3 linked regions of the Arabidopsis thaliana genome follow. The protein of the gene in region 3 interacts with the protein of the main gene of each other region in a pairwise test. Each region holds a gene or a part of one and is shown on either strand. Other genes may lie near its edges.

What was found.
Region 1: the proteins of RAN3 (region 3) and SIRANBP interact in a two-hybrid assay, tested with the Arabidopsis thaliana proteins (2 studies listed by BioGRID).
Region 2: the proteins of RAN3 (region 3) and AT5G53480 interact in a two-hybrid assay, tested with the Arabidopsis thaliana proteins (one study listed by BioGRID).

The regions. Positions count from the first base shown.
Region 1 is NC_003070.9:2,189,540-2,196,462, reverse strand, and holds SIRANBP (Pleckstrin homology (PH) domain superfamily protein), read left to right. Parts: upstream 1-2,626; 5' UTR 2,627-2,774; coding exon 2,775-2,929; intron 2,930-3,049; coding exon 3,050-3,201; intron 3,202-3,307; coding exon 3,308-3,433; intron 3,434-3,849; coding exon 3,850-4,103; 3' UTR 4,104-4,784; downstream 4,785-6,923. Other genes in the region: MAPKKK13 (mitogen-activated protein kinase kinase kinase 13), read left to right, coding at 685-2,184; AT1G07135 (glycine-rich protein), read left to right, coding at 5,839-6,306.
Region 2 is NC_003076.8:21,710,237-21,719,546, reverse strand, and holds AT5G53480 (ARM repeat superfamily protein), read right to left. Parts: upstream 6,303-9,310; 5' UTR 6,065-6,302; intron 5,540-6,064; 5' UTR 5,532-5,539; coding exon 3,118-5,531; intron 3,037-3,117; coding exon 2,838-3,036; 3' UTR 1,669-2,837; downstream 1-1,668. Other genes in the region: ACBP1 (acyl-CoA binding protein 1), read right to left, coding at 7,156-7,332, 7,419-7,516, 7,598-7,689, 7,893-7,981, 8,104-8,206, 8,593-9,050. UniProt on the Arabidopsis thaliana protein: Acts as a negative effector of drought tolerance. Involved in the regulation of stomatal closure and in the abscisic acid (ABA)-mediated pathway that lead to drought tolerance.
Region 3 is NC_003076.8:22,388,883-22,395,766, forward strand, and holds RAN3 (RAN GTPase 3), read left to right. Parts: upstream 1-3,180; 5' UTR 3,181-3,402; coding exon 3,403-3,405; intron 3,406-3,541; coding exon 3,542-3,611; intron 3,612-3,901; coding exon 3,902-3,958; intron 3,959-4,059; coding exon 4,060-4,177; intron 4,178-4,394; coding exon 4,395-4,484; intron 4,485-4,570; coding exon 4,571-4,750; intron 4,751-4,839; coding exon 4,840-4,917; intron 4,918-5,005; coding exon 5,006-5,075; 3' UTR 5,076-5,303; downstream 5,304-6,884. Other genes in the region: AT5G55180 (O-Glycosyl hydrolases family 17 protein), read left to right, coding at 1-18, 103-1,387, 1,634-1,679; MGE1 (Co-chaperone GrpE family protein), read left to right, coding at 5,823-5,966, 6,278-6,449, 6,538-6,734, 6,835-6,884. UniProt on the Arabidopsis thaliana protein: GTP-binding protein involved in nucleocytoplasmic transport. Required for the import of protein into the nucleus and also for RNA export. Involved in chromatin condensation and control of cell cycle.

The sequences.
Region 1 (6,923 bases), on a different chromosome or scaffold from region 3:
CACGTTTTTGTTCATTTGTCTTCTCCACGATCGGTGATCCGATCACTTAAGTAAAGAGACGATTTTTTAAATGTTGAGGTTATAAAAACGAAAACGATTGCGTGAAGCTAGAGGGTGTGTGTGATTTTATCTTTGCTGAGTAAAATATTAGCGGACAAGATCAAACCGCAACTTGAGTCTTGGTGGATAAGGATTAAGGAGACAGGGCAAGTGCATTGTTTCTTAAAAACATCCCAAGAACTTCTCCAAGTGTCATTAGGAGTGACATAAAACATTTTCTTCTAATTTCTAAAATGATCCTTTTTCTGATTTATTTGTTCTCTTTTCAAAACGACTAATCATTCCATAAAAGTAAAAAATTTGTAAGGATTAAGTCTAGATTTCAATAGATGTATATATAATTAAAATTGTTAAAATCCAAACCGACCATCGAACATGGTATAATTTGTTCAAAAATCTAATGATAGACTCGAAAGTTTGTGTTGTACATGACATATCCACGTGGGAAATTTTACAAAGATGAGACTTTACAAATCGAAAAGACAAGTGTACAAGAATAGTCCATGTCAGAAACAAAAAAAATTGCAACTTTATTTCACGTTCACATTTTCTGTTTTGCAGTTCCAAAACACGCATATAAATAGCTTCGTGTTGCACAAGTACGACATATGAAAGTTGGCACACATGGAGAAACAGAGCATCAGAAACACTTGTTCTTCTTCTTTAATGTTATCCTCACCATCTTCTTTTTGGGTTCGTGGTGCGTGTATCGGCAGAGGTTGTTTCGGTGCAGTTAGTACGGCGATCAGCAAAACCAACGGTGAAGTTTTCGCCGTGAAATCCGTGGATCTCGCCACGAGTCTCCCCACTCAATCAGAGTCTCTCGAGAACGAAATATCTGTCTTCCGCTCGCTAAAGCCTCACCCTTACATCGTGAAGTTTCTCGGCGACGGAGTCTCGAAAGAAGGAACGACGACGTTTAGGAATCTCTACTTAGAGTATCTCCCAAACGGTGACGTGGCTAGTCACAGAGCCGGAGGAAAAATCGAAGACGAGACTCTGCTCCAGCGTTACACGGCGTGTCTTGTCTCTGCTCTCCGCCACGTACACTCTCAAGGATTCGTTCACTGCGACGTCAAGGCGAGGAACATCCTCGTCAGCCAAAGCTCCATGGTCAAGTTAGCCGATTTTGGGTCGGCGTTCAGAATCCACACACCGAGGGCTCTGATCACGCCACGTGGAAGTCCGCTTTGGATGGCTCCGGAGGTGATCAGACGAGAGTACCAAGGTCCGGAGAGTGACGTCTGGTCTCTCGGCTGCACGATCATCGAGATGTTCACTGGGAAACCCGCTTGGGAAGACCACGGAATTGACTCGCTGAGTCGAATCAGTTTCTCTGACGAGTTACCGGTTTTCCCCTCGAAGTTGTCGGAAATCGGCCGTGATTTCCTAGAAAAGTGTCTGAAGCGAGACCCGAATCAGAGGTGGAGTTGCGATCAGCTTTTGCAGCATCCATTTCTCTCTCAGTGTCACAACTCATCTCCGACTGAGTCATCTCCGCGTTGCGTACTTGACTGGGTCAACTCGGGGTTTGACTTAGAAGAAGAAGAAGAGGAAGTAGGGAGATCAGAATTCGAAGACGCGGCGAAGGCAATAATTTGTAATTTGGCGACGACCGGAGGAGTAATTTGGGAGTCAGATGGTTGGGTGGAAGTTAGATGCCACGCTTCGGAAGAGGAAGGGACAACAATGGAATATTCGGGATCCACAAGGGTAGAATCGGAATATAACACATCATCGGATCCAAACGATGACGTGGCTGGTGACTCGGCGATAATTGACGTTTCTATGTCTCAGAATTTACCGCCTGGAAACGGGGGATCGGCGGCGGCGCTGCCATATGAATTTGTGGTGGTTTTACATTTATTAATGGAAATTATGGTTTATACTACATGTATCTTTAGGGAAATTGTTCTCACTATGTATTTGTTGTATCAGTATAATCAAAGCAATAAACTCGAAACGTTGTCTTTTAATCACAGCCTCAAGTTTTGTTTGTTTGCACATGTGATTCGGATCGGACAAAACTATCTTTTACGCGGTGAGATGAGATCGAGTGTCTTAATTACGAGCCATTGCCTTATATTGATAACTCTCGTTTACAGCCAAATAGTTGTATTTTAATGTGAAAAAATATTGCGACAAATGGTTTTGGTTCGTAAGCTGGTGGAAGACTCAAGAGGCCAAAAGAGACTTTGGTTTTATGCTTTAGAAGACTTTTGATTCATCCTAATAAGTATTCGGATTTTGGAGCATTTAAATGAATCATAGAGGGAACCGGACCGGTTGAAGATGGTTGTTTGTTTCGACTAGGCCTGAAGGACCAAGGTTATGCATGTACGATTATGTATCAAACTGAACGAAGTCGTTACATAGAGTTTAGCTCAAGCATATCATCATATTCTTTTTTCGATCTTTAAGATTTTTCTCTAATCTCTATGCTATAAATCATTAAGATTTCTCTAAAAAAGGATTAATTTCCCTTGAGATAAATAGCTTTAAAAATAACCCAGATACAATGGGTTTATATGGGCCATATATATTTTTTGTCATAAGAAATCGGCCCATAGTTAGCTTCAATTCAACGCCGTATAACTATGAGTCGTTCCGATTTCCTGTGTTGCGAAACCCCCAAATTCTCTTCTCTCTATCTCTCTCGCGTACGCCGCACCGTAGCGACCAATTGAATCCACGAGGAAATCTCAGTAAATACTATGGCGACCAACGAACCCGAGCACGAGCACAGAGACGAGGAAGAGGCCGGAGCTAACGAGGATGAGGACACCGGAGCTCAGGTCGCTCCGATCGTTAGGCTTGAGGAGGTTGCCGTCACTACCGGCGAGGAAGACGAAGATGCCGTCCTTGATCTGTAAGTGTTTTTCTTAATTGGTGTTTATAGTTTTTCTGATCTAGGTCAACTGGATCTGATCGAATTTATAAGGTTTAGCTTTTGGTGTGTTTGACTGAATTTTTGTTTGTGAATCTAAAGGAAATCGAAGCTTTATCGATTCGATAAGGATGCGAATCAGTGGAAGGAGAGAGGAGCTGGTACTGTGAAGTTCTTAAAGCATAAGAACACTGGGAAGATTCGTCTCGTTATGAGGCAATCTAAAACTTTGAAGATCTGTGCTAATCACTTCGGTATAATTTCTATTTGGACTACTTTGTGTTGTTTTTGAGTTGCATCTGGATCTGTATTTAGGTTACTGTTTCCTTATCTAGTCTTATGCTTCTGATATTTCTGCAGTTAAATCGGGCATGAGTGTTCAGGAACACGTTGGGAATGAAAAGTCATGTGTGTGGCACGCTCGTGACTTTGCTGATGGTGAACTCAAGGATGAGCTTTTCTGTATCCGATTTGCTTCTATTGAGAGTGAGTATGAAACCGAATTTTGTAATGGCTTGTGTTTTGCCTTATTTAGTCTCAGTTGGTTTGATAGATTCACGGATTAGATTACTGATGGATCTTGACCTTAGCATTGCTATATGGCTACTTTGTTAATTGGAGGTTCTCAAAGCTTCCATCATAGGCATGCGTTATTGGGTTCAGGAAATATCAAAATAAGTACTGTGGCGGTTAGGTTGTGGTATTGCATTGTAAAGAGATAATATTGTTCTTGAGGTGGTCAAGTATGTATTTAGGCTGCAACTAATTTGATATGCCAACATGGTCGACTGTTTCTTTTTTTATTTTGGGTAAATATTATCAGTAGTTTCTGAGCTGTTGATCATATTAACCGGGAAAAGTAGAGATGCTTGTGGGTAATCAAATCTTATTTTCCTTGTCAGATTGCAAAACATTTATGCAAAAGTTCAAGGAAGTTGCTGAGTCTGAAGAAGAGAAAGAAGAGAGCAAAGATGCCGCTGACACTGCTGGCCTTCTTGAGAAATTGACTGTGGAAGAGACAAAAACGGAGGAGAAAACCGAAGCGAAAGCTGTGGAGACGGCAAAGACTGAAGTGAAAGCAGAAGAAAAGAAAGAGAGCGAGGCAGAGAAATCTGGTGAAGCAAAGAAAACAGAAGAAAGTGGTCCCTCAACATAAGAAGCGTCATCATTTAAGTTGCCAAATCCTGGCGAGGTAATTAAGCCTCGAAATGTTTTGATGCATCATGAGTCTACCATTGTCTTGGCACTATCTATCTATACATGTTTTGTCGAGTCATATCAAGTGGTTGGGGGATCGCTTGGGGTCGGGTTTTACTGAATGCTGAGTCGTTATGGGTCTAATAGTTTTTGAGTCTAAAGTGTCGGGTGATATGAGAGATTTGGGTGAAATATTTTTTCATGTTGGTTATCTGAAAGAGTACATTGGTTTCATTGTTTTAAGTTTTCTCATGGATCCTTTTTGGATGGTCTTATTTTGAGGATACAAATGTGTTTGTCCATGGACAAGAATCAGAAGTCTCCATTTTTTTTTTTTCAAAATTTAATGCATGTGATTTTTTAATCTTAAGGTAATTGCCAATTGTTTGACAAAAAAAAGGTAATTGCCAATCTACTTTGCTCTCTTGTGTTAGTCGATGCTAGTCTTGACCCTGATAAAGATCCAAAATGTATATTAACAGTATTCATAAAATTCTTCAGTTATAACGAACTGTTCACGGAAAAAAAATGACATTGTACTATACTGTGCTAAAATTACCAAAGCATGATTTATATAAATCATATCCAGTAAGACCATATGTGAATGAATAACAATGGATTATGCTTAGGTTAAGATTTTATTAAATTTATAACACTTTTAAAATAAATTTGGAATAATACAAACATATAAACCATTCCTATAACACCATATTTAAACATAACAATGAATTGCTTGGATTTCAAACTTTATTAAATTTGGATTTTAAATTTTAATTTGATTGAATTATACCCCCTTAATTGGATAAATTCAAATATGTCAACTTTTTTTTTTTGTAAGATTTTTTTATGGAAAAAAAAATTGATTATTCACTAAAAAGATGACAGGTTACTTATAATTTAATATATGTAAACCCTAAAAAGAAGAAAATAGTTTCTGTTTTCACTTTAGGTCTTATTATCTAAACTTCTTTAAGAAAATCGCAATAAATTGGTTTGAGTTCTAACTTTAAACACATTAATATTTGTGTGCTATTTAAAAAATAATTTACAAAAAAAAAAACAAATTGACAGAAAATATCAGGTTTTGTAATAAGATATTTCCTGATAAATATTTAGGGAATATAACATATCAAAAGATTCAAATTCTGAAAATCAAGAATGGTAGACATGTGAAAGTTGTCATCAATATGGTCCACTTTTCTTTGCTCTATAACCCAAAATTGACCCTGACAGTCAACTTGTACACGCGGCCAAACCTTTTTATAATCATGCTATTTATTTCCTTCATTTTTATTCTATTTGCTATCTAACTGATTTTTCATTAACATGATACCAGAAATGAATTTAGATGGATTAATTCTTTTCCATCCACGACATCTGGAAACACTTATCTCCTAATTAACCTTACTTTTTTTTTAGTTTGTGTGCTCCTTCATAAAATCTATATTGTTTAAAACAAAGGTCAATAAATATAAATATGGATAAGTATAATAAATCTTTATTGGATATTTCTTTTTTTAAAAAAGAAATAAATCTTTTTTGGATATTTTCGTGGCAGCATCATAATGAGAGACTACGTCGAAACTGCTGGCAACCACTTTTGCCGCGTTTAATTTCTTTCTGAGGCTTATATAAATAGATCAAAGGGGAAAGTGAGATATAATACAGACAAAACAAGAGAAAAGATAAAGAAAATGGGTTTGAGAAGAACATGGTTGGTTTTGTACATTCTCTTCATCTTTCATCTTCAGCACAATCTTCCTTCCGTGAGCTCACGACCTTCCTCAGTCGATACAAACCACGAGACTCTCCCTTTTAGTGTTTCAAAGCCAGACGTTGTTGTGTTTGAAGGAAAGGCTCGGGAATTAGCTGTCGTTATCAAAAAAGGAGGAGGTGGAGGAGGTGGAGGACGCGGAGGCGGTGGAGCACGAAGCGGCGGTAGGAGCAGGGGAGGAGGAGGTGGCAGCAGTAGTAGCCGCAGCCGTGACTGGAAACGCGGCGGAGGGGTGGTTCCGATTCATACGGGTGGTGGTAATGGCAGTCTGGGTGGTGGATCGGCAGGATCACATAGATCAAGCGGCAGCATGAATCTTCGAGGAACAATGTGTGCGGTCTGTTGGTTGGCTTTATCGGTTTTAGCCGGTTTAGTCTTGGTTCAGTAGGGTTCAGAGTAATTATTGGCCATTTATTTATTGGTTTTGTAACGTTTATGTTTGTGGTCCGGTCTGATATTTATTTGGGCAAACGGTACATTAAGGTGTAGACTGTTAATATTATATGTAGAAAGAGATTCTTAGCAGGATTCTACTGGTAGTATTAAGAGTGAGTTATCTTTAGTATGCCATTTGTAAATGGAAATTTAATGAAATAAGAAATTGTGAAATTTAAACCTCCCTCAATCTTAAACGTTATATCTTTTAAACGCTAACTTGTTAAAGTGACCAATGGATGATTTAATCATCATGATTATTATTATTCTTCATTGGCCAATTATTGTGGGCTTATTAGATTCAAATTTGGTTCTCCTCTGTTGTGTGTTTAGACTATCAATTATATAAAAAAAAGACTAATGATGGTAAAACTCAGCGTTTAACTTATCTTTTTTTCTTGAGAAATTTCTAATAAATTTGAAATAAAGACCAAAATAATAAAATCGCAATACATATGGTTTTCAAAGATTTTGCATACGAAATATTACAAAATAAACTTAAACATAGAGACCAAAAGAAACTTAAACATAGAGTTATTCATTTATTATACTAACTCTAATTTCTTAGTT
Region 2 (9,310 bases), 680 kb from region 3:
CTCTATAGATCCTTTCATATAAAAAAATGGTTTCGCACTTCAACTTTCTTAACTGGTTAATTATTTCCATCTTAAAATGTTTTCTCACAACCTCCAAGTAAATATCTGCAGTTTTCTATAAAAAATAAAATGAAACAGATTCTTTTTCAGCATCTGAATATGATAAAAACTAATATAGACTACACGTACATTAAACCAGCTAAACTGCTTAAGTAGAATCGTTGTACTATCTAAAACATTATTCACTTAACAGTTAACACATGTACGTGCAGCTCTTCTGTCCGAAGACTATGCATGACTTCACAAAAAAAAAAAAAAAAAAGGGAAAGTTCGTGAGTAGGGAAATAATCAATGTGTCGGCAATTATATGTTGCGTTTAAAAGGAGTGATGAATAAGAAACCAATGAGCCACTAAATTAGCAATGTTTTATTGGGCAACAACGTACGTGTCTTAAGTCTTAACTTCTGTTGTCCAATGTCAACTACACAGAAAGACGACGAAACGTACATCTATTAGTCTTTGACAAAAAAAAAACGTACGTCTATTAGTTAAAAAAAAAAGAGAACAAAAACACAATTTCAATACTAACATAGTTTACAACGCGAATAATAAATCACGAGACACCCACAACTAATAATTTCACTACTTTTCTTAAATATTTCCTTCGTTTTAAATTTTTAATATACAATTCATCTCATAAGTGTAGTTTTTTTTTCTGTAGAAGACGGGAGACTAAAAATTATAAGAAAAATTACAAACTTACTTGCCTTAGGCGCACATACCCAATAACATCATCGCTTAAGAGCGTATCAACATTAGAAGGAACAACATCAAAAAATGAAAGCCATCAGGCAATGAGAACGCATAGTTAGATCTATAAATGTAGTTTGAACCAAAGTTCTAGTTTTTATCCATTAAATTAGCTTATATATTAGGTTTTCGTTGTCCTACTAAACGAATTAATTTTCTTAAAAAACATCCGTTTTTTTTTTTTTTTCAGAGTTTTCTTTAATGGCGTTCATCTTCTAAGAAAGTATTTACTAATCATTATTATTTTTAAAAATGTATTGATCCGTAACCTTAAGGTAAAATGTGTTAGATAATAGCTATTGAAAGAAAAATTGGAGTTATTTTTTGTCGCAAGAAGTTCATGCTTTAATCAATAATTATGTTTCTTTTGACTAATAACTTGGATCGTAAGATTTTCTCCTTTTTTTGGCAGTTTCAGCTGACGACGCTCATATATCTTTCGGTGCTATTTCAGTATTGCATTTAAAGACTAAAGGTAAAGTTTAAAGTCGCAAAATAAAGTATTAACGCCGTAATGAAATTATTTGAATATGAAAAAAATCGTCGCGGACGACAAAAATGTTTTTTTTTTTTGTGTGTGTATCAGTGTATGTGATATATGTGGGTGTGCTTGGACAAGTCCTTTGACAATAAAAAAGGCCCACTTCGTATTACCACCATTCTTTTTCAACTCCCAATTTCAATTCAGAGTGGCGTGTCCTATTTCTCTTGGATGTTTAGCCATCATCTATCTTTTATGTGTTTTATTGTCCATTTGAGTGAGATTTAAATGGGTATGTCATCACAATGAAAAAAAAAAAAATACCAACAGAACCAACGTTTCTCTCGCCTAAATCATCAATTCGAAAAAGATATGTCGAATGAATTATGACATTATATATTTAGTTCAAGAGAAAAATTCTCGAGACGTCAGAAACATGGTTTGGGACTAATACATAGAACCGAGAGAAACTAATTTAAACCATAACTTGAATGGTCTAGAATGTTTCAAATACACATGAAAACATTTTTCAAAATATAGGTTCGGTATCAGTTGCATTTGGCGTTTGGAAAACCAAAAAAAAGCAACACATACAATCAAAATTGAGGTTTCCATAAACAGCGTGAATGTGAAATGTTCTTCGATCTCTTAACTTGACTCTTTGGAAGCAGAGTAAGGCAGGACGTTTTCTCCTATTAACATGTGCCCTTTCCCATATAGTTCGAGCCAAATCAAATAATGGATTCTAAACGATTGTAAACAGTTCCATAGTAAAATGAATAGATGTGGACCTCTTTAAGACCCTAAGACATGACACCATATAATAAAAATGTTCCTGTATGTGACATTTGAAACTTGATTGCAAACAAAACACAAGTATATATGCAAAACCCCCTAAACTGCATCATAGCAAAGAGAAGATAGACAGACATGTGAAACTTCTTTATATAAAAATAAAAATGTGAATAATGCTTTTAATCAAACATACAAACCCCCCCAAAAGACAAAATGATGATGCAAAGACTGCAACTAACCAAATAATAAAAGAAAACAAAAGAAAAAATCAAGGGATTGTCCTCTAATAATGCCCCCACTTGATAAAAACCTGAGACCTCTCCCTCCTCAAGGGGTTGAAGAACATATGAGAGAAAAGAAAAAACAAGAATGTATTATGAGATGTTCCATGAAACCTTTTTTTTTTTGGTATAACTTTGTCCCAAAACCCACCAGAAAACGACCATGACTCACTTCCTCCTCTTTCTACTCCCGGGGATTTAACCTTACCCGGGAAACTTTCACCCGTGACTCTTCCAGTTTCATTATTTACCCCAAAACTCATCATTCCCCACATCCACGACTCAACGATTCCCTGACTGACCCCAGTTATGCTGATGATGCAAATGAAACTGATGCTGATGATGCTGATGTGACTCGGATGTTGCAGCTCTACCCCTCCCCCCGACCGACTCAACCCACCCAGAGATGCATGCAGACTTTACTAAAAAGCAAAAGGAATTTTCTTTCTTATAGGCAAAAGAAGAGCCTTCAAACAGATATGGCACGGGTTATGGCATGCTTCGCCCATTCGGCTGCTTCTTTAATTGTGTGGTCTTCAGAAGACAAACATTCGTTTAAGAACTCTTTACTTGACACTGACTGTTGTATCAAACCACCCACATGACTCCCTAGTGTATCTGCTAAATCTCCTAAGACCCCAATCGCTGTCTTCATCACCACCTCGTCCCTGTCCCAAGGCAATTTTACCACAAAATTAAACAACTGCTATGACATAATAGAAATTCAGTTGGGTCGTAACCAAACTTACATGTCTTTCTCCATGTATATACTGTCCAAAAACTGGAGGATATGGGGTGCGAAAGGAATCAGGAGCTGGGTTTTGGCGGAGTTCTTGAAACCTTGAAATATGCCTGAATAAGCCTCAAGGATTCCGTTTCTCAATGAGTTTGTGTACTCCGTCATTTCATCATCAGCTCCAGCCGAGTGAGCAGATAACTCTGCGGCACTCTGAAGCATCGGCATTGAATACCTCCAGTACTTATCAAAATCCTCACCGATAGCAAGTGCTATGTCACCAAAACAGGAGAATATCGGTGGCTTCACTGATCGGTGCAATTGGTTGCTCGACAAATCTTTCAGAAGCTGTGTCATAATCCCATCGCAATAAGGTAAAATCTTGTCCTCCAATGCTCTGCAGACATCCCCAACAACACCAACAGTAACAGCACACACTTGGTATTCTTCAAAGTTTTGAAGACCCATCTCCAAGTACTTATAAAACTCAGGCATGTATTTGGCAAAATTGGGACCTGCTGCATAAGCAAGAGCACCAATGGCAAGCATGGCTTCCTCATGTGCAGTTGCACTTCTACAACCAAACACCCTCAGGAAAAGTCCCATCATTTGGTCTGCATACTCCATGAACTTAGACTTGGTTGGTTCAGATCCTAATTTCTGTATGATGACCTGCAAGCATCCACATAGAAGTCCCTGCAACTCGTTTTGTTTCTCCCTCTCATCCAATGAAAGCTTTTCCCCTTCCAAAGTATTGTGAAGCTCCATCATTATCACTGGTACTAATTGCAGAACCATGGTAGACGTTTCATCAGTTGAACACCTGACAACTTCATTCAATGCCTCATATGCTGCAGTCCGCAAGCGTGATTCAGTTGCATCCTCTCTGTGTGCAACAGCTAAAAGTGACTTAATAATTTCCTGGAAGAAGGGTGTTAACGGAGAACTGGGACCGATATCCTCATAGCCTTGAGCAAGGAAGTACAGAGCCCCACAAGCCTTCTCGGCAACATTAGGCGCATCATTCATGCTCTGGATGAGTACTGTGATTATCTGCTGGCAGTTTGCCTGATTAATAATAGGTGTCTCGATTGTTGAACCATGAAGGAACTCAAATATCCGACCAAGGGTCCATGCGGTTGTGTCTTTCACATGGTTGCTTGGGTCATTTGTTAGAGCATTGAGCATAAATGTTAACGCTGCGTTAACAATTGCCATCAACTTATCGGCAGAAGGGCCTTCCAAAATGGAACCAAAAGCATAAGTTGCAGCTTCTCGCTCTCTCCAATCAGGCTTTGATATTTTCTCTTCAATAAACGGCATGACATGTGGAACAATGTCATCTCCAACTGCCCTAGCAACCAAACCGAGGCATGTCCCACCTGCCATTGCAATATTCCAAGCCCCTTCATCCAAATCTTGATCTTCTTCTTGCTTCAGAAGAGTCTCCAGCAGTAGAGGCACAAGACCAGGGAGAGCCTGCTTAGTAAAATAAAAGCATGGAACATCAGAATCCCCAGCGAACTCACCACCATATTCTTCTAAGATGTCAATCTCTTCGTCACAAATAGAACTCCAGAACTCAATTGCCTGTAGAGCAACAGACTCGTCATCTTCTCTTACAGCCTTAGCTGTGATGTTGAATATATCTTGCATGTAATGCGCCAACTTCTCATAGTATGTGGAAGCGATAGATACCAAACACTCAAAAGCTGCCTGCCTAATTTTCACCTCAGGGGACAGGGTTGCTTCACACACAACTCTCATGATATAATCACGCTCCATGTCGTTGTTGAAATTTGCTTGGGCGAATCCGAGAGCCATGTATAAAGCACGGGTTGCAGCAAGTCTAACATCAGTATTACCTTCAGCAGCATTCATACCCTGAACAACAGCTGTGAGTATCTTATTTACATGCTCCTGTTCAACAACATCAGGTGACACTTCTTCACATAGGTATCCAAGAGTCTCCAAAGTGGCTTGCTTGACATGAGCAGGTAACTGGTGAATATTTGAGAGAAGAGACACTATGAGCTCAGGCCACTGCTTCTGTGGTAACTCAATACCTGCAACCTTAGCAATGACCTGAGATGCAGTCGAACGAACATCAGGCACAGGTGCCGACAGTGTCTTCAACAAGAAAGCTCTGATCTGCGACTTTGTTGACATGTCTAGAGCCAACCATCTCTGAACAAGCTCATACTTCCTGTGTTGTTCCTTAGCATCAAGAGCATTTTTAAGGACTAAACCAGCTAATTTCCTGCTATCTACTGGCTTCTCATCATTCGCAAGCTCTCCAGCAAGCGACAACAAGAAACCCGCAAGGTTTTGCTCCTGAAACTGCTTAAGACTTTCTTCCGCGTGCTTACGTACAGTTCCATCAATCGACTGAGCATTAATGAGCAACTGCGTAACCTCCATTGCCATAGGTTTATCTGCAACAGAAACAAACAGATTCAGCAAAACTGAAAATAAAGAAGAAGTAAGACAGAATCAGTAAATTAAGCCAACAACATGAAGAAACTCGTCAACGATCCAAAAAGCCATAAAGGTGAAAGACTACTAAATCACTATGAATCGAAAAAACCATGTAATAGCAATAAGAGATCAAAGCACGAGCCATTGACGCTTAAAAACACTGTCAGATTCAACTATAACAGCCAGAACAACAGATCCGAGCACGAAATCGAATATAAAACACGAAATCAAACTAGTTACTAAGATGACCAAATCAACAAGTTAATAGAACAAATGAATCTAACTAAAAAATCGAAAAGCAAATCTCAGATTACGAACGAGTTCAAATCATAAAACAGTGAACAAATCGAAACTAAAGTTGGAAATGGATGATTGAACGAATCGAGATCGAATCAGGAAAAAAAAAAAGCGAATTGGGAAGTGATGAATCTGAAGATGGATCTTAGGGAGAAAGTTGAATAGATGAAGTGAAGAAGGGTAACCTAGAATCTCGGCGGCGGCCGATCGGATAAAGCGGAAATCGGGGACTGGAGAGGACAAACCCTAGAAGCCCAGAAGGAAGAGAGAGAGAGAGAGAGAAGAAAAAAATCAGTTCCAGCGAAAAAGGGAAGAGAGAGAGAGAAGAGAAGAGAAGAATCGGATGTGAAGATGGACTTTAAATTTTATTATTAAACTTTTAACCAAATATTTATATAAACAAATAAAAAAACTGTTTTGAACACAAATTATGTAAATCTATTAATTTTGAAATTGTTTTCCAAACTTATATATATTTGTACTCAATTGTATATTTAGGTTTTGTTCAGTGTATCCTAATATTTTTATAAAAACTATATATAGGAAAATATCTTTTAAAATTACCCAATTAAAAAAAAGTTGTATAAATCTTCTAAATATGAAAATTTGTTTCCAATCATAATTGTTTGTTCAGTGTATCTTATTTTTTTCAAATAAAAACATAAATAGAAAAAAATCTGAATTACCCAATATATATATAAAAAGGGAAAATATTTTTCTTTATGATTTTTGCACACTAAAAATATATTTCTGATTAAAGAATTGATATAATCTGGAGTGATTATGTCGTACATCGCGTGTTGGGTGGTCCTTATCTGAACCCCACCTTATATATTCTCATCGTTAATTAATCAACGGTCCGGATTGTTTTACAGCGAGATGCGAAGAAGAAGATTTTTTTTCTTTTCTTATTCCGAAGGTACAATTTGTATCATATTTAAAATACTTATAAATTTTACAAGTAATCAACAAAATTGTTTTACAGGTATGATAATAATGATTCAGATGGCTGAAAAAACATGAAAGGGTCACGAACGAAAGAGAGAAACATTATACTAACAAAAAAAAAACTATTATTGAGTTATGATGATTGATGATGATGATCTCTCTGGGTTCAATATAGTAACCAATAAAAACTAGAGCTACTATATCATATGTAACTTGTGTTGTTGTATGTTAAAACATAAGCTTAAGAGGAAGCAAAGAGGCTCAGAGGAAATGTAAGAAAAACACAAGCATCTAGCTTTGACACACAATTTTAAAGACTTAAAAAACACTAATTGGAATCCTTCTTCTCTCGCATCCAAGACCATTCTGATTCACAGAGATCAAGAGGCGAGTTTCCGTCTTCGTCTTTAATGGTTGTATCAGCTTTCTGCTTCACCAGAAACTCGGCGAGTGCTTCTCTTTCGCACACAACAGCATAGTGTAGAGAGGTTTGGCCTTCATTGTCCTGCACAAAGTTTGTCAGCGACAAAAACATAAAAGTCTGTAATTGAGAGAAAGAATTAGTTTAGGGGGTTTTGGTTATTTATTTACTTTAGCATTCACATCTGCGTTCTTATCAACCAGAGCTTCAGCAACGTTAAGATGGCCACGGTCTATAGCCCAATGCAGTGGTGTTCGACCTTCACTATCTGACATTTCCAAGATGGAGAAACTGTTAAGTTTCCAAACCAGATCCGAACATTCTGTGAAAATGATACAAGACTACTAACCTCTTGCATTTACGGGTATGCCATTTTCTATGCATTTCAATAGATTCTCGACTTCTCCTTCTCTAGCAAAGGCGTGTATGGCGTCAATCTTCCTGGAACATGGAGTAAGAACGCAAGAATGAACAGAGCTTCTACTATGATTTAAACTAACACATGATTCTTTGATCTACCTAAGGTGAGTATTATGATATATACATTCCTTCTCTGATCTAGTCAGCTAGTCATATAGAGAAACTGAGAAAAGAAAACCAAAAGTTCATAGATGAATCTGTAACTAATTGCTTAGGAACCTTACAACTCATTGTCAGATTCCTCTTCGTACACCAATGAGCTAAAAACCGGTCCCATGGGGCCTGCAGCCTCACCACTCCGATTTCTTCGTTTCTAATAGTCCGCAACGAAGCAAACAAGCCAAGAAATAAAGACAGATTTAAGAACGAAAACAGACCATCCATAAACAGTCCAAAGAAATGGGAATAACAGAAGCAGGTAAGAAGACAACTAACCGAGCCACCTTCAACCCAAGCTGGGTAAAGCTGAGTAACAAGGTCGATATACTTCTCCATCGCTTCCTCAGGAGGCATAGCACCCAATTTCTGCCATGCTTGCCTAGAACAAAAAAGATCATAACAAATCTCAGTCGATCAAAATGCATCCCTAAGTTACCAATCAACAAAACAACAAAAGCAAATCCTTTCGGTACTCACACAAAGCAAGATACATCCAGGATGAAGAATAATCAGTACATCACAAGTAAACATGATTAAGTAACAATCTTCACAGTCATAAGATTTGAATCAGATCACTAATCAATACACCAACAAAAGCAATCCTTTCCATACATTAGCAATGAAAGATACGAACTTGGTGAAATCAAAATAATATACATCCATGATCAAGAAACATCAGTACATCACAAGTAAACATGATCAAGCAATCATCTTTCACAGTCCCAAACATTTGAATCAGAGAATCAATAAGAGTGTTAGACAAACCACTTGGCACGAGCAGTCATTTTAAGAGCTGATGGTTGAGGAGCAGTACAAGGTCCTTCAGTAGCAATTTTATACAATCCATAAAGCTGAAGTTGCAACTCATTAGAAACTTTCTGCGAAAGCCTATCCGATGCAGCAGCAGCAACAAAAGCCGTAGCAGCACTAAATGCCTCATCAAGTTCTGTACTTTCGACACCTTCCCAATCATCATCATCTGATTCATCTTCATCACCTCTCAAGCTACCTTGCTCAGCTATAAGAGAATCAGTCTCGCCGCTAATCCCAGTTAAAGTTTCGACCTTTCGCAAGTTCTCATACTCCGATTGAGTCGTGTGGTTACGAGTGAGTGAGAGATTCTCGTCTTTAAAAGCGAGGAGGATAGAGATTAGCTTAGCGAGAAGGTAAGCGAAGATCAAACCAAAGATTATAGACTGTGCAAGCTGATACCAATCAGCCATTTCCCCCAAATCGAATAAGAAAGTAAACCCAATAGAGATTCAAACACAACGAACTCGAAATCTGAGAAAATGAACCCTAAATTTCAAAGAAGGGTCACAATAACGCATCTCCAGAAACAAAAAGGAGCCACCTTTTTGGAACTCTTGTTTTCACCGCTTCACAATTTTCTTTTTCTTTACTTTTTTTTTGTTTTCTCTTTGTGGGCTTGTCTTTTGTTGAAGACCAGAGACAACTGAGGAATTACACGTAGGATTGAATG
Region 3 (6,884 bases):
TTCCATTCACTTATGCAGGTTAGTTCTCATTTTCATCATCTCTCCACAGAGTTTAGTTTGTTTGGATTCTGATGTCTTTGTTTGTTTTTGTCTTCTTATCAGATTCTGGAATGATCGGAGTTAACTACGGCCGTATAGCAGACAATCTTCCGGCACCGGAGAAAGTAGTTGAGCTACTGAAAACACAAGGAATCAACCGCATCAAGCTTTACGACACCGAGACAACTGTACTAACCGCACTCGCGAACTCCGGAATCAAAGTCGTTGTCTCTCTCCCCAACGAAAACCTCGCTTCCGCCGCCGCAGATCAGAGCTACACCGACACTTGGGTTCAGGACAACATAAAGAAGTACATTCCAGCGACGGATATCGAAGCAATCGCCGTTGGGAACGAAGTGTTCGTCGATCCGAGGAACACGACGACGTATCTCGTTCCAGCTATGAAGAATGTTCAAAGCTCTCTCGTCAAGTTCAATCTCGACAAATCCATTAAGATCTCGTCGCCGATTGCTTTAAGCGCGTTGGCGAGTTCGTATCCACCGTCGGCTGGTTCGTTTAAACCGGAGTTAATCGAACCGGTTATTAAACCGATGCTTGATCTCCTCCGCAAAACGTCGTCGCATCTTATGGTGAATGCTTATCCTTTCTTTGCTTACGCAGCTAACGCCGATAAGATCTCGTTGGATTACGCGTTGTTTAAGGAGAACGCCGGGAATGTTGATTCCGGTAACGGTTTGAAGTATAACAGTCTCTTAGACGCTCAGATCGACGCCGTTTTCGCCGCAATGTCCGCCGTTGGATTTAACGACGTTAAGCTTGTGGTGACAGAGACAGGCTGGCCTTCTGCCGGAGACGAGAACGAGATTGGTGCTGGTTCGGCTAACGCGGCGGCGTATAACGGCGGGTTAGTTAAAAGAGTGTTGACGGGAAACGGAACGCCGTTAAAACCGAAGGAGCCACTAAACGTTTATCTGTTCGCTCTGTTTAACGAGAATCAGAAAACGGGTCCGACTTCTGAGAGAAACTACGGGTTGTTTTACCCAAACGAGAACAAAGTGTATGACGTTTCGCTCAACGGTAAGTCAACGCCGGTCAACGATAACAAAGAGAAGGTTGTTCCGGTGAAACCGTCGCTCGTGGGACAGACGTGGTGTGTGGCGAATGGTAAAACGACGAAGGAGAAGCTTCAGGAAGGTCTCGACTACGCTTGTGGCGAAGGAGGTGCTGATTGCCGTCCGATTCAACCGGGTGCCACGTGTTATAATCCTGAATCGTTAGAAGCTCACGCTTCCTACGCGTTCAACAGTTACTATCAGAAGAACGCACGTGGAGTTGGCACGTGTAATTTTGGTGGTGCAGCGTACGTGGTCTCGCAACCTCCTAGTAAGTACCCTATCTTTCCTCTCCAAAATTTTATTTTGATTAGTAAGTATTTTGCATATACAGTATAGTTATTTTCACGTTCTTAATAGTTGGAAGATGGTTAGATAATAATTATGGGAGTTGGGATGGTTTAACAACAAATGTTATTTTTTTGGGCTTCACTTACGTATACAGATTTATAATTAAATTGTGACGTATAGACGGAAACGTAAACTAAATTAATTATTTTTTGTTGGTTATGTGTTTGTAGAGTATGGGAAATGCGAGTTTCCAACAGGGCATTGAAATGGATATAGAGAAGAAGAGGATCGTGCGGATTTATTTACGTTATTTATTTTGATACATTGTTCTTTTGTCATTCGAGTATATGATTTGCGTATATTTATTTTTATTATTGTATATTTGGTTGGTTTCATCGGATAAATAGTCAGATTTTCTTTCCCCCTTAAGCCTTAACTTCTTTGCTCGTGAGTTTATAAAACTGACAAAACTTTGTTGATATAAACCATTATATCCTGCAACTGATCCAATAAACAACATTGCAATATTATTTTCAAAATCTCAAATTGATTCGTTTTGCTGGTGATCAACTGATCATGATCCAAGCAAAACTCAACAGTATATATTGTCCATATTGTTTCATTCCAATACTCCAGAGTCAAAACCTTGAGCTGCCTACTTCATCAAACTTGATTAGCGCCTACCATCAATTGAGCTACGACTACACTACCAACTCCCATATAGAAGCCTGTAACTCGAAAAATGGGTTTTGAGTTATAGTTTGTCACAAAGCTCTGTGAATACATTATACTACATGAAAACTCATCAAGTCTTTTGATATGGAATCTTCAGAACCAAGAATAGCTTTAATGCTTTTATAGTTGTGAAGTCTGTTATTATTCTATTACTGAATGTGTATTCTCCTCCAGAAATATCTAAGATCTTAGATGAGTCAGTTTAGACGTTTTAAATAGCAAGAATGTTCTGCTTTTTTATGTCATTTTAAAAAGCTTAAGGTTTTGGATTGTAAGCATCGTGTGGTTGCTAATCGAACTTCCTTCCCTTTGCATTATTGAGATAGTGTACTCGCAAAACACGGTGGCAATTTAACCAAAACATAGTACAAACACGGTTTCAAAATTTTAAAAACAAAACCATATACAGTACTTGATTACCATCCCAAGACTTACATATTCTTAGATGGACTATGAGTCTATGGCTTTTTCTTCAACTACTACCAACTTGAACTTCTCCTCCAAACCAATTAAGTGGGCTTTCAATTGGTCATGCCTTCTTTCCATATCACGAGTTTCTTCTAGCCAGCGGGAGTGATTTGATGGAAAGGTGGTCGCATTCGTGGAGTATGCTTTTGTAAGTCTTGATTGGAAAAGCTGTAAACAATGCTCTTTCTGAAATATTGAGGGCTAGCTTTGGATCGCGCCATCGCGGCTAACTCTTGGCAACACCAATGGCTTCCTTGTGTCTTCTTCCATCAAAGCGTGTTCCTTTCATTAATTACATTCTCTTTTGTGGCCTTCTATTATATTGTTGCGTAGTTTTCAGTCTTTTATTTCTCTTCGTTGTATCTCCGTGTTATGTAAAAAATCTAAAATTTCGTATAAAACTTTAAATTTTACCAAAAAAATAATTAAAAACAGACAAATTCTTTAGAAATAAAATCTAACACCTTTTATATTTTCTTCATAAACAATTGAACCAAAAAAAAAAACTCAAATCCAACTCCTCTCCCCTATAAAACTCTATCTTATTGATGATTTTGCTCAAAATGTAGTAGTAATAACAATGACGAGGCCTATGATGGATCAGGATTCAGGAGAGCATTTTGGGCCGGATCCGGATCCGGATCCGGATCTGAGCCTGGATCCAATTCTAGATTACCGGGTTTGAGTATCTGCGTCATTCCTAAGCTCACTATACTCTCTGTTTAAAAAAACCTATCTCTCTCTCTCTCTCTCGCCGCCTTCCTCTCACCCTCTTCGCATAGCTTCACTTTCGCCGATGGTAAAATTATCTCTCCTTCTTTGCGTTGATCTACTTATCTCTCGATCCTACTTTGAAATTCTTAGGGTTTAACATTATATTCGATCTCGCGTGATCTGTTGATTTTGTCTCATCGTTATTTTGACATAATTGTCAGGCTCTACCTAACCAGCAAACCGTGGATTACCCTAGCTTCAAGCTCGTTATCGTTGGCGATGGAGGCACAGGTACCCAATCCCTAGCTTCATCTTTCTTTTGTTTTAGAAATATATACAGAGAATTGATTTAGTTCTATTTCAGAAACTCGATTTTGGATCAAATTGCTTTGATATAGTTCAGTTTTGATTAGTATGCTGCTTTGACTTAGTTTGTCTGTCTAGAGCTTAGTATCTGTATGTATAAGTGATCTTGATCCGTCGTAGTTCAATTCTGAGATTGTTCCAAATTGTTTCAGTAGTTGGATGCATTTGGCTATGTTATCAAGTAACCTCTGATTAAATGTTGGTTTGGTTCACAGGGAAGACCACATTTGTAAAGAGACATCTTACTGGAGAGTTTGAGAAGAAGTATGAACGTAAGTACTCTCGCAAGCAAGCCCCATCCTGAAATATATCACTTGTCATTAACCTTTTTTATTCTCACAAAAGATTCTCATGTGTTCTTGTGTTTTTGCAGCCACTATTGGTGTTGAGGTTCATCCTCTTGATTTCTTCACTAACTGTGGCAAGATCCGTTTCTACTGTTGGGATACTGCTGGCCAAGAGAAATTTGGTGGTCTTAGGGATGGTTACTAGTAAGTACTTTCTTCTCATACAAATCACTTAAAACCGACCTTGTTAATAATCTAGAATCATCTACTGTCATGCTATAATCTAGAATCTTCTAGTGTTGGAAGCTTGGTTATGGTTTGAAGCTCAATAAGATGATTGTAGCTAGCAACATGAAAAACTATTGATAACTGTTGCAAATAGTTTGTGTTTGATACAATAATGTGTTCTGTTTTGTTGCAGCATCCATGGACAATGTGCTATCATCATGTTTGATGTCACAGCACGACTGACATACAAGAATGTTCCAACATGGCACCGTGATCTTTGCAGGTATGATGAACTCACTCACAGAAACTAGCATTTGTTGTATGTGGCAAATTGCTAAACAGAAAATGTCATCAAATTTCATGGTGCAGGGTTTGTGAAAACATCCCAATTGTTCTTTGTGGGAATAAAGTTGATGTGAAGAACAGGCAAGTCAAGGCCAAGCAGGTAACATTCCACAGGAAGAAGAACCTCCAGTATTACGAGATATCTGCCAAGAGCAACTACAACTTCGAGAAGCCATTCTTGTACCTTGCTAGAAAGCTCGCCGGGTAAGAAACAATTCATCAATTCAACCCTCATTGTAGTTATTGTGAAACAACGGAAAAATGAAAATTGAGATGTTGCTTGTTTGTCTCAGGGACGCTAATCTTCACTTTGTGGAATCACCTGCCCTTGCTCCCCCGGAAGTTCAAATCGACTTGGCTGCTCAGCAGCAGTAAGTTCTCTAAAACTAATTTTGTTTTAATTTGTTGCTAAGGTTTGAGTTCGAGGCTTTTCTTCAATTAACGATTATATATTTGTAGGCATGAGGCGGAGCTTGCAGCAGCAGCAAGTCAGCCACTTCCTGATGACGATGATGACACCTTCGAGTAGAGAAAGAGAGATGTGATCTGTCACTGATTACCCGTTAGGGCTTGTCTGAACTTTTTTTTGTTCATGGTGCTATTTTTATGTGTCCGTACTTTGAAATGAATCGATGACATTAGTAATTTTCATTTTTAAGTTTTTAACTGTCGCTATGAAAGTGAAAACCTTTTGATTACAAACCTTACATGCTTCACAATTTCAATTGTATCTCTATTAATCCTAGCCGCGCAATCTCATCAATTCTCCACACCCAACACACTTAATAGTTTTTTTTTACATCAATCATTTCGAAACCACAAGTTCTTAGATACTCAACAACATTTTTTTTTTTTTTTCTGTAGCCAATCGATGTTCTAAAGATCAAGAATGTTGTATTATTTCTACCACTTATGGAGTCACCAAGGATATGTGAAGGGTTTTCTTTGTTTATATATTTTTTTAATTGCGTTTTAGGACATCTCCAATAGAAGTATCTAAATGTAGATACTGATCTCTATCAAAACAGATTATGGATATCATACTAGAGTACATTAAAAATTTGCTTCTAAGATTTTGAGTTCTTGGAGTCATTAACGCATCGCTAAGGGTATTTTCGTAACTTTAAATAACCCCAAATAATATTTTGCTTCCTCCCCAAGAACCTTTTTGCCTCTTTCTACTTCCGTCGGCCGGATTCAGAGTCATAAATAAATATATAAAAAAAAGTTTCGATTTTTGCTTTTCTTCTTCGATTCATTGCGCGAATCATCCGTGATGTTGGTGTCTAGGGTTTTATCAAGAGTTTCTCGCAGCGCAGGCTTACGCTCGTCTTTCTCCTCCGTCGTTACTCCGAAGAGGAATCAGATTCCGATTGTTGCAAGCCGATTTCACTCCCTCGTTCACGGAACCCCCAACAAGGTTAGGCTTTTAAGCTGATTTTACTTGTAATTCGTTCTGGATTTTATCGTCGGGTTTATGCTAGGGTTTAAGGGGTTTGTCTAAACAAAAGATTGTTATGTTCTGATTCTATTGCTCTGGTCTTCTTTATTACAGTGTCACGAATTTAATTGTGTATGTCTGAATGTTAATGTTTTGATTGCTCTTTCATATGTCTTAATTTGGATGTGAAATTCTGGCAATCCTTGTGAATTTGAAAGCTGAGATAAAGCTCATTCTAGGATTTGTGTACAGTGAATTTACTTAATTTGGATCATTTTTTTTAATGGCAGCTTGTTGCAGTTCCAGTGTCGCTCCGAAACCATGGAACTCTAGATTTGAATGTTCTTCAAAGGTTCGGCTTTTTTTCCTCTTCCTCAGCTGAACCGAAGGGAAATGAGAGTAACACCGAAGTACCAAAGACCGGCGAAACTTCTGAGAATGTGGAGGTGGGGAAAGCTACAGGTGAGGCAAAAGATTCATGTATTTTGACTTAGAATAAAGAGAGATTACTGTGTCTAATACTGAACGAGTTTCTTTTTCTGAGTTCCAGATGCAGAGATTGACTTCGACGATTTGTCAAGAGACGATTTAGTGAAGCTTGTGAGTGAGAAGGAAGATCTTTTGAAGGTTCAGCAGAAAGACATAATGGAAATGAAAGATAAATTTCTTCGCACTTATGCTGAGCAGCAGAATCTTATGGACAGGACTAACCGTAATGCTGAAAGCGCCAAAAAGTTCGCTGTACAGGTTTACTTCTCTACTCCGCGAATCCTTTTTCTTCTTTCTTGTATTAACTCGTTTTGCTTTGTGTATAATCCAGTGCTGAATATGTTTTGTTGTGCTGCAGAACTTTGCAACGAGCCTTTTGGATGTGGCGGATAATCTTGAAAGAGCTTC